Linked DNA regions of Zea mays. The protein of the gene in region 2 binds, or shares a complex with, the protein of the main gene of each other region. Links are inferred from orthologs where the notes say so. Each region holds a gene or a part of one and is shown on either strand. Other genes may lie near its edges.

Evidence for each region.
Region 1: Mediator of RNA polymerase II transcription subunit 23 (region 2) and uncharacterized protein LOC100216950 share a complex: the UniProt entries of both Arabidopsis thaliana proteins name them as parts of the mediator complex. The link is inferred for Zea mays from reciprocal best matches to the Arabidopsis thaliana genes AT1G23230 and SFR6.
Region 3: Mediator of RNA polymerase II transcription subunit 23 (region 2) and mediator of RNA polymerase II transcription subunit 25 share a complex: the UniProt entries of both Arabidopsis thaliana proteins name them as parts of the mediator complex. The link is inferred for Zea mays from reciprocal best matches to the Arabidopsis thaliana genes AT1G23230 and PFT1.

The regions. Positions count from the first base shown.
Region 1 is NC_050096.1:232,623,726-232,627,482, forward strand, and holds the start of uncharacterized protein LOC100216950, read right to left. Parts: upstream 2,841-3,757; coding exon 2,805-2,840; intron 2,448-2,804; coding exon 2,273-2,447; intron 2,116-2,272; coding exon 1,592-2,115; intron 1,080-1,591; coding exon 903-1,079; intron 556-902; coding exon 175-555; intron 39-174; coding exon 1-38. UniProt on the Arabidopsis thaliana protein: Component of the Mediator complex, a coactivator involved in the regulated transcription of nearly all RNA polymerase II-dependent genes.
Region 2 is NC_050100.1:213,163,088-213,166,178, forward strand, and holds part of Mediator of RNA polymerase II transcription subunit 23, read right to left. Parts: intron 2,850-3,091; coding exon 2,606-2,849; intron 2,537-2,605; coding exon 1,783-2,536; intron 1,326-1,782; coding exon 1,144-1,325; intron 1-1,143. UniProt on the Arabidopsis thaliana protein: Component of the Mediator complex, a coactivator involved in the regulated transcription of nearly all RNA polymerase II-dependent genes.
Region 3 is NC_050097.1:178,597,711-178,601,367, forward strand, and holds part of mediator of RNA polymerase II transcription subunit 25, read right to left. Parts: intron 2,438-3,657; coding exon 2,407-2,437; intron 2,307-2,406; coding exon 2,243-2,306; intron 2,155-2,242; coding exon 2,024-2,154; intron 1-2,023. UniProt on the Arabidopsis thaliana protein: Component of the Mediator complex, a coactivator involved in the regulated transcription of nearly all RNA polymerase II-dependent genes.

The DNA.
Region 1 (3,757 bases), on a different chromosome or scaffold from region 2:
TGCGCAAATGCACAAGTTTGCCGCAAACAACGTATGCACTAGAAAGAAGAAACAACAAATTTAGGCATCGAAGTATATTAGGGGAGTAACCAGGATTCTCTAATAAAGAACTCGTCAAGGAACTATGAACCCAGACTTGACAGCAAAAGGTAAAGCGACCATAACCATACTCACCTTGTACCAATCACCATCGAGACCTGTTCTCCACACAGCCGTGACAACATCTCTTCGAGATCCCATGACACCTAGATAACCTCCAAGACCTACAGATGTTTTCAGACCAAATGCAGCATCTCTTTCAGATAACCTACGCTTTCTTGGCCAAAGATCAATCCCAATGGAACTGACAGCATCCACTTCCATGTCAGACAAATGAGAGTTGATGGAACCACTAATTTTTAGACGAGGCATATTGTCCAATGGACCAAAATCATCTGGTTCTGACCAGGGTCCACCAAACATGTTGCGTCTATGCCATTCTTCCGCAGGAGGTTGCAGTTCTAATTCTCGAAGTAGAAGTCCAGCAGCATCAGCTCCTCGTGGACGAGGCATATTCTACAGAGTTACAGACATAGGAAACAATGAAATATTGAAAATAGATGGGGAAGTAGGCATCGAGGGATCACTCAAAATGCCATGTCTAAGGCCCTGGCAGTAATAGTGCATGTTTCTATAAAAAATGGCTAATACAAAAAAGATAACTTCTGCTAAGAGAATCCTAATCAACATTTAAAGGTGGTCGTCCTGAATTCAGTTCGAAACAGGAAGACTTGCAATATCTCTGAGTCGTGCACTTGAAAATCAACTTCTACTCCTATAATTGATAGATGTTGGTAGCTCAAAATGGCCACAAATAGTACGAAAGCGACCATTAGAAACTTCCATGAGAATTTGACTAGTACCTGCATATGGGGACCAAGAGACGCTTCCACTACCTCAGGGAGCACTGTGTAGTTGCCGTCAATGTAGTGCAGCCTTATGATAATGCTACTGGAACCAACCTGAGAGGCAGGCAATGGATGCGGCAAGGTAGATGTCCTTCGACATAGGTCAACCAGTATAAGAAAAAGGACCTTGACCTACCAACAATGAAATAAAATTACAGAGATAATTAGATAAACTAGACAAAAAGAAATCTTCCAAAGAATAGAAAGACAGATCTGTAAAGCATCTGATAAATCACTCAATAGAGATCATGAACGACATATGCAATCAAACTGTTGTTCATGCTAGGCTGGACAAAATTTTAAACTGCTTAAATCAAGGGTCCAAAATAACCTACATACGCAATTGCACTCTATGATGGCTATATCGACATGTGTTCTCCCATAGCAACCAAAGCTAGACATTTCCAAAGAAATGCAGGAGCCAAAACATAGTTGTTTCCAAACTAATCACTATGTTCAGGACTTCAGGTCACCAGTTTTCCAGCGCATTTGGCACATCGTCAGCTTCTTCACACTAACTCCCAAAGTTCAAATGCCAACGATCAGTCCCAGTTTGGTAGCACTAACTCCCAAAGTTTCCTTAGTATAACTCAATATTAAACTCTGTAAAAAATACTATATCTTGTCAAGAATTTGATAATCACCTCATCTGAAGTATAACCTTGCCCAGCGTTGCCAGAACCTATTCTAACAGATTTGCCAATTGGATTTTCTTCAGGACCCTTTGCACCACCAAGAACAAATTGTCCACCACGCGCAGAGTGACCTTCTTCTACTTTGGCAGCCCCTAGACCAGATCTTACTGTCGAACTGTTATCTTCTGTCTTAGCATTCATCATGTGTTGTATTTTCTGCATGGCAGAATCTTGATTTTTTTGCGAACTGGCAAGTAACCTTGGTGATTGCCTTCTTCGGAAAAGCAGACAAAATAGCAGTAATTGACATAATCTATGAAGAAAATGGCAATCCCCAATAAGTCTCACAGCAGGTGTGCCAGGGAAAGTGCCCGTATTAATGCTGATGGGCATAAATGATGTCCTCGTGCTCATTGGATTCTGTGTTGCAGTGGCAGCACCATCAGAATTGTTACTAATCTTAGCAATTGCACCTTGGACCCACTCCTGCATTTGTGAGTTCCCTGTTGCAGATGTTGATCCCCCTTGATTACCTGAAATTTGAAGGAGCATCAAGATGCTAGCAGCACTAAATAAACAACACTTTAAGCCTCAAATTTGCAATGAAGAAAACATAAGGTTTGGATGTACTTTTTTGCGCACAAACAAGAGAAAAACACAAGATTTAGCAAGCTAGCAGGCATAGCTAACCTTGATTATTTGATGGCGAAGGAGAACTGTTTGTTGGACTTGTAACCATATTTCTAGAAGTGCCTGTGGTAGAAGATGGCCCCACATGGCTCGCCAGAGTTCGACAGAAACTCGCATAACGCCGCAAGCGAGTTATGAAATGTGATGCTAAATCAAGAACAGCATCAACGTAACCCTGCATTTGAATGCAAATAAAATAAGCTATTTCCTAGTAACATAAAGAATCCCTATGCAGATAACCTGTGCTGAAATTTATACAATACTCAACATTAAAAGGCTGTAATACACCAGTTTTGGCAAAGGATAACAGACATTGCACATGAGTTCACCAACATAACTAAAGTACCGTTTACATGGAAGTGATCTAGCATACCAATATACTGCTCACTACTTTATAAAATGAAAAAAAACGGCTCAGTAGCAAGTCTTAAAAGAATAAAGTCAGTAAAAAGAAAGAAAGAATGTTAGATAGCTGAATTTAAGTTCCATGGCTATGAAATAGAAACAACTTGCATAAAGGAGACAGCTTGACCTGGATGTTTGGAAGCAGAGCTGGCTCAACAGTCATTTTGTCAGCATCGATGCTGGATAACATATCACTGGAAGCTTGCCAGGGCTCAGGTAGCAGAGTTGATGGATTTGTAAGGGCAGACTCGATTCCTTTGCCTAGCATATCCAGAAGTAATCTTGCTTGCATGTCCAACACAAGTGCCCGTACATCTTGGGCATTTGTTCCTTCCAACAACCTACACTTAATCCTATCAAGGTTCTGCATGTACAATTGTACATTCATTAATCATAAAAGGAAGAAAGGTAGTAAATCAAACATTGAAGCCAAAAAGGTATAAAATATGAAATATCACCCAAAATTCCAACTGTCATATTAACTCATCACAACCCAAAATATCATATGAATCAGCTGTCCAGCCAGTCAATTAATTTAGAGACACCTGCTGAGATGCCAATGATTTTCAACCCAAAGGCAAACAGCCACTGGAAAAGTTTCTAGCATCATTTTGCGGTTAAAATAAAAAAATGCCACTGTTGTAAATGCCCATTAAAATGTACAATTTACACATACTTGTGGCCAGGGGCGGCCCCGGTCCAATAATACTTATATCATATCATAATTTTAGTCCATAAAATCCAACAAAAATAGGTAACAGCCTTCCATCTAACCGTGGCATCTAGCACCCGCACCCGATCTCGTCCACGCAGCCATGTCGCCACAGCACACCAGCACCAAACAGTAGTGCCGCACACACGCGCGCCTGGCCCCCATCCGTGCCATAACACTGCAGTAGTGCCAGTGCCGCATCACAAAGCCTGACGGGCAGCGCACTGTGCACCCACGCCGCCACGCAGGACACGGCCACGGACCAGCGTGCATGGCCGACACACCTGCAGCAGCTAGCAGCGTGTAGGCGCCCAGCAGCCAGCACAAGGTGCAGGCCAGCGCAAGGCGCACGCTGCAGCCAGCACAAG
Region 2 (3,091 bases):
TCCAAAGATCCTTTCGCTTGGCACCATAGTTTTTGGCCAGGTGGAGTTCGCCTAGGAGGCTTTAGCCTCTTGTAATTCTTTCTTTCTTAATCAAATGACATGTGGTTCTCCTGCGTAGTCCGAAAAAAAAATCATTCTCCATATCAAAGGCCATGACATCATCAGTAGTAGTGGCAGAGTTAGTGCTCCTTAAGCAGAAGAGGTAGGCAAACGATTGCTTTGATAGACTAAATCTTGTATTTATCTTAAGAGTAGGTGCATATGTCAGCACCTTACATTCTTAGCTCCCTTTAGCACCTACATTAGCATAATAGCATCTACTTTAGCATATATATCTGCATATGCTGAAATCTCTTAGTTTTCAAGTTTGCTTCGCTACTTCTATATATACCTAAACCTGCTATGTTTTTGCGTAATGGCTTAAATGAAATATAAAATCTTGTCCCAAAACCTGTGTCTATCCCTAGCATGCTTTGCCAATAAGCAGCCGGTCAAGAATGAGGTATGGATCCAACTGTTGTGACATGTGGTGTTGTGAGGTGGAGTAGATAGGGTCTATTTGGACCTAAGTGGCACACTAAGTTTAGGGACCAAGATAACAAGCCGAGACAAGCCTCTGAACCTAAAAATAACATTTTAAAAAACTGGGACCTCGACGTCACACAAAGACAGGCTTGAGGACTTAAAAATGCATTTTCGGAGTTTGGGACTTGAATGACACCCTGGAAAATATATGTAAATTCTGACAAAAAATGCTGGAATGATGCTAAATGATGAACATAAACTTGCAGCAGTTATTGAGGTTGCATTGCAGGTACAGCATATGCTGATCCAATTCGAAGTGACTAACACCTTGCCATACAAAGCTGTTGACTTTAAATTTAGACCACTTACAAGCTCATAACGTAAATCTAAAGTAAAACTGAGACTAGCTCAGATAGTCAAGGACAGTGGATGTATCTCTGGGGCTCTGGGCCACACAAGTTCAAGTCCTCATCAAGGCAAATTTCGGTGCATATTCTTTAATTATTAAATTAAAAACACCTTGTTCCTTCAAGGTTGGTTGAGCATTTAATTTAAAGGAAAAATATACCACATATTTCTAATTTTGGAGTAACTGCAAAGAGAAAACCGAGTATATACCTTCATGAACAAAGGTCGAGCAAAGGCTAGACGAGGTAACAAGGGACCCAATATGCGGAAGGCGATTCTTAACATGGCAACTGAATTGACTGGCCGAAGGTGTTTGATGACAGTATGAGTAGATTCCAGCCACTCTTGTGGAAGATTGCTAAAAAAGGAATGCAGAAGGGCAACAATGTTACCTGCAACCAAAGCACAAACGACATAAGACATAATTGAGGCACTAGCATATTAAGTTAGAGTGCAGATTTTGCGCCATTGATAGCTAAAACACCAAACTGCAATGTTCCAAAAGTCAACATAAAAATCATGTATGTAATACACATAAAGTATAGCCACAACAATTCAGTTTGAAATTCATCCTAGATGCCAAGAAATAAAATAGACAAGCAGTCAACCTGACACTGTTCACCATGTGTTGATAGTGACACTTCTATTTTTTTAATCTCAACATCAAAGATGAATTTCAAACTGATTTATTGCGGCTACACTTAACTTTAGGTCTACTACATACATGATTTTTGTGATTATTTTGAAACATTGCAATATGGTATTTTAGCTAACAAGGACGCAATATAATTTTCCATTAAGTTAACTCTGATCTGATCCAGCTCATAAGACTAAAGAAAAATGTTCTACCAATGGCTGTTGATGTATTGTCTTGGGAAGCCCATGTAGGATCCAACAGTGCATATCCAACAGCAGAGTCAAGCTCTTTAACAGGCCTGGAACCATCAGCAAGCCACCAGCAGTCTTTTATGACTCGAGCTGCTTCTGAGTATAGTTGCATGTGGAATTCTGGTGGGAGTTGTGCCAGCAGAAGACCACATGCTTGAATCATCAAAACAGACAATTGTTGGCAGGAGTAACCACTCCTAGAAACAAAGTTAGTGGCATTGATGCCAGTTGCAGCACTGTTCGCTTGGTTGGGACCTGAGGATTCAGCAGCCCCTGAAGGAGAAGTTGGCAGCCCAGAACTTTGCCCCAAACCACCTGACATTCCTTGGCCACTATTTGACTGTATAAGTATTGCTTGTACATGTGCTATTATTTGGACCAAAGAGGACACTATTTGAGCAGCAGGCACAGGAAGTGAGAGAATCTCAATAGCTGCTGTTTCCAAAACAAGCTGTGTATACGACCCAGGATCCTGATTCTGATAAAATGCCCTCTGGCCATCGGTGTTACCAACTCCACCAGGTTGTGAAGATGCATGATGTTTGTTGAAAGTCGAGCGTGTTGTGTCTGCTGGGTTTGATTTCGATTTGCTACTTAAAGGAGGTATAACATTATTAACGAGGTTTAGCAACAGGTTGGCAAAGTATTCTGGTGGTGGACATATTGAAGAATTTGATGACACTAAATATTTAGCAAAAGATTCTGAAAAGGGGGTCTGGAAAAAGCTCATAGTTAGCAAGTGTTAGGCACAAAGTGTTACAACTAAAAAAGTAAATAGGTTTACCTTAGTGCTAACACCCAGCAGGTTGAGGATCCTACCAATTAGTTTGATTGGAAGATGACCATAGAAATACGCAAGAATATCACGTACAAATGTAAATCTTAGCGGGTGGAAGGCAAGCAAGGAAGAATAGAATGCAAGAACTCTGTCTGCAATGTCAGTTGCATCATTCTCAATAAGCCTATAAATAATCAGTGGAATAACAGGAAGCAGACGTGCAGCAATGTCATCGAAGAAGGGTGGATAGCTGCATCAACAAAACTAGAGGACATCAAGATTCTATTACCACCATTGAAAACAAAACAATATGTATCTCAGAAGAAAACCTCACTTTCTGTTTGGTAAGTTGACAGCCAATAGTAGCTTTATAGTTTTGGAATAGGTGCAGCATATATTACAATAATTAGTTTAAAGCTGGGTATAAATGGACAAACAAGCACTGACCACAGATAAAATAATCCTAATATGAAACCATATTGGCCAAAAACA
Region 3 (3,657 bases), on a different chromosome or scaffold from region 2:
TAGACACAAACTAATTAAGTTAATATATTTGTATATGTAATATATTTATATATTATCCTAAATCATATGAGAGAGATAGTTATAGATACTTATGCTATAGAGAAGCAAGTAGAAGAGTGTGCTATAAGCAGTACATTAGAAAAGTAGCATTTAAATCTATAGAATTAATTTCTATCTCTCACCCCATGAATTTGAGATAGGCTTATATATAAACTTTGAAGAGTTGTGAAATGTCACGTTCTTAAAAAATAGCATACTCCATTATTTAGATTCCAATTCCTCAAAATGAAAGGAAACAAACGGGGCCTAAGTGAAATAGCCAATTGTTTAATGTTCAAAGAAAAGAAAGATGAACACCATATCACCAAAGTTTTTTCAACTTTTTCTAACATGTAAATTTATAGCCTACTCCATTAGTTAGATTCCAATTCCTCAAAATGAAAGGAAACAAACGGGGCCTAAGTGAAATAGCCAATAGTTTAATGTTCAAAGAAAAGAAAGATGAACACCATATCACCAAAGTTTTTTCAAGTTTTTTCTAACGTGTAAGCTTCACCATCGTGAGCAAAATGGACTGATGCCCAAAAATGATGCAAGGAAACTAACACGCAGACCATCATTATCATACTTATATTTCATTGCATCCTTATTATCTGGGAAATTAGCAATTTACATAGGTGTTATGACTGGAAAAGTATATGGGCGCCGACCTAAGCAGCCAGGGGAAGATAAGCTAGGCTGAGCAGATAAGTACTCAGATAAGATAGCTAGAGTTGTTTAGATTTTCCTTAAATAAAGGTAGTTTGTTTAGATCCCCTTAAAAGGAGGAAGTCTTGTTAGGTCGGGCAGTATATAAGCCCTCTATGCCTCTAGTCTGTAATCAGGAAAGATCAATCAAAGAAAGAGATTGAGTCTTGCCTCCCTGCTGTTCTCAAATCCATTGTTGCACCTGAACCCTAGGCCAGGCGTCAGCACGGCATCCTCTCACCCTTCTTCCTCCAACCATTAGCCACTCATACAACCTCCGTAGCCGGGGCAATCCTACCAACCTGGTATCAGATATGCCAGGATCTGATGAAGCTGAGACTGCAGCTTCCGTCGCCCTCCAGCCGTCGGAGTTGGCAGCGATCACCACCGCCCTTGCCGAAGTCCAGCGCCAACTGGGGCTCTTCGCCACGCAGATGGCCTCCATGTCCTCCCGCATTGCCGTGGTTGAATCCACCCTAGGAACATCGGCCATGGCACCGCCACCAGACTGCCCCACGGCATGCCTGGATATGGCGGACACCCACCGGCCATGACAGCGGCCGATGGCCACCTCCCACCACCACCCATCAAATCCATTGCTGCGCCTGAACCCTAGGCCAGGCATCAGCACGACGTCCTCTCACCCTTCTTCCTCCAACCCTCCAACCATTAGCCATTCATACAACCTCCGTAGTGGGGGCAATCCTACCAATAGGTTATTGGTAAATGATAATAAGTGATGATTACTTATGCATACTCTATAGATTATGGGACAAAGAAAGGCAGAGCTTTTGATCAAGGTGTTTTACTAACTGGCCAGAATTCAAAATGATGCGAACAAAATGTTCACATTTTGTCAGTCAAACCATAGCTTGGCAAATCACATTGTGGCATATATTGGAACAATTATCATGTACGTGCAGAGTAATTTACCAGCTATGAAAAGTAATTAAACAACAATATAAGAAAATATGGGGTGTATTTTCAAATGCAAGTATAGATACAAATAGATGTTTGCTACCGGGTCGAACTATAAAACAACTTTTTACATAGAGAACTGGTTAACAACAAAACAAACCAATGGAATAGACGATAGTAGGAAAAATGGCAAAACAAAGCACGATGTCGACATCATGCTCTCACAACAACAAAATTCAAAATATGAAAAATGTTGAGATCTTGAAAGGTGAAACAAAATCTTTTAACTGGTAACTTTTGGCCACGAAGAACTCATCATCTGAAAAAAAAAATCCAAACAACATTAACTTGTTAATACCTTCAATGCTTCAGCAAGACCTTCACAAGTAGAAGCTTCACTGAATCCTCCACCACTGAACAATATTCCAGATAACCATGATAGGAAAGCATCGACATCTTTTGTCCATCCACTTCGCTGCACATCAAAAGCTGAATTGCAAAATGTTCACAAATTACCTATTTCGTAGAGTTCATAAGAACTGATATGGTCATGGACATGAACAATATAAACGCATACCACTGTAAGGTCCATGGGTATGAAAAACAACTAATGCAAGTTCAGGCGGAGTACCCACAAGCTTCTGCAAAAAGGAAGTTCGGGTTATGCATTGACACAATTAGTGGAATATCATGTGCAAACTGAGAGCTCAGATACTAAATGGATCATTAGGACAGAATTACCTGGCCTGGCAGTTCACTTGCACAAAAGCTCCTGCACAAGTTTTAATTTTCACCATGAATCAGTTACCAAAAATTAAAATGATGCATTTGCATAGCACAATCGCGTGAAAAATGAATTACGAAAGTGGTATTGGAACTGGAGTTCAAACCATTGACCAAGATTGCTAGCATGCTAATCAGACGATTTTCTTTAAAAACAAACAAATTTACAAATATATTTAGATTATTGTACATCGTTGAGGATTGTTGTGGCATGACACGCCTAAGCCTTTCCTCCCCTCCCCCCTAGCGCCCCTACCTCCAACAGCCTCACGTCAGTACTTACCCCAAGTCCGGCGGCCACAGCCAACCTCTACCCTGCGTCGGGGATCTCCCCTTCTCCCTCTTCCTCTCTGGCCCCTCGTCCTGTTGGCCGCTCTAAAGCTCAACGCTGGTGTGACGACGTGGATCTTGTTCCTTCTCCTCTCCAACCTCGCCGCACGTTCAAGAGGTGCTTGTCTCCTCCGGTCCTCCTGTTGCGAAGGATGATGAAGGTTGTGGGTTGACGATCTCTTCGCCAACGCCCCCTCTTTTCAACTCCTCCCAGAGCATAGCCTATCAACTTGCGTGGGAAGTGTTTCAATTGCTTGTCCCCATCCCATCGTGTTGATGTGTGTCGTCGCCCAGTGAGGTGCTTCCACTGTCGGCTTCCTGGGCACCGTATTTACGTGTGCCCGCACCGATGGGAGGCGTCGTCCAGTCCAGCGATCCCTAGTGTGGTGGCCTATCGTCCGACCTTCCCTCCCTGTGGCGGCCTCAGTTTGCAACACGATTGGGTCGTTAGGATGATCAAGTGCCAGTTCTTCCATAGGTGTCGAGCAGGCCTGTGAAGGTGATCGGGTGTAACACCCCGTCCACTCCTAGATCGGCAATACTTACTCCTGACAGCTCCTTAGGACCATAGACCGGTAATACTCAGTCCTAGCGGCTTGTGCCTCGTTCCCGAGCTGACAGCGCCTTCAACAGGGTCTTCAATTCAAATGTCTCAAGAGAACGCTTCAGTTCCTGCCACCTTGGGTTTCCCTCTTCCAGATGGCCCTGTGATAGCTACCTAGTCCTTAATTGCGATCTCTTCGTTATTGAAGTTCTTTAATCTTGTGCCCTCGATCCCTGTGGGTCTTGTTTCCGAAGCATCTCATGCGCCCATCCTTTCTCCAGAGATTGATTCGGGTGCCGCAGTTGACCAAATCAGTGGGGAGGAACTTTCAAGAG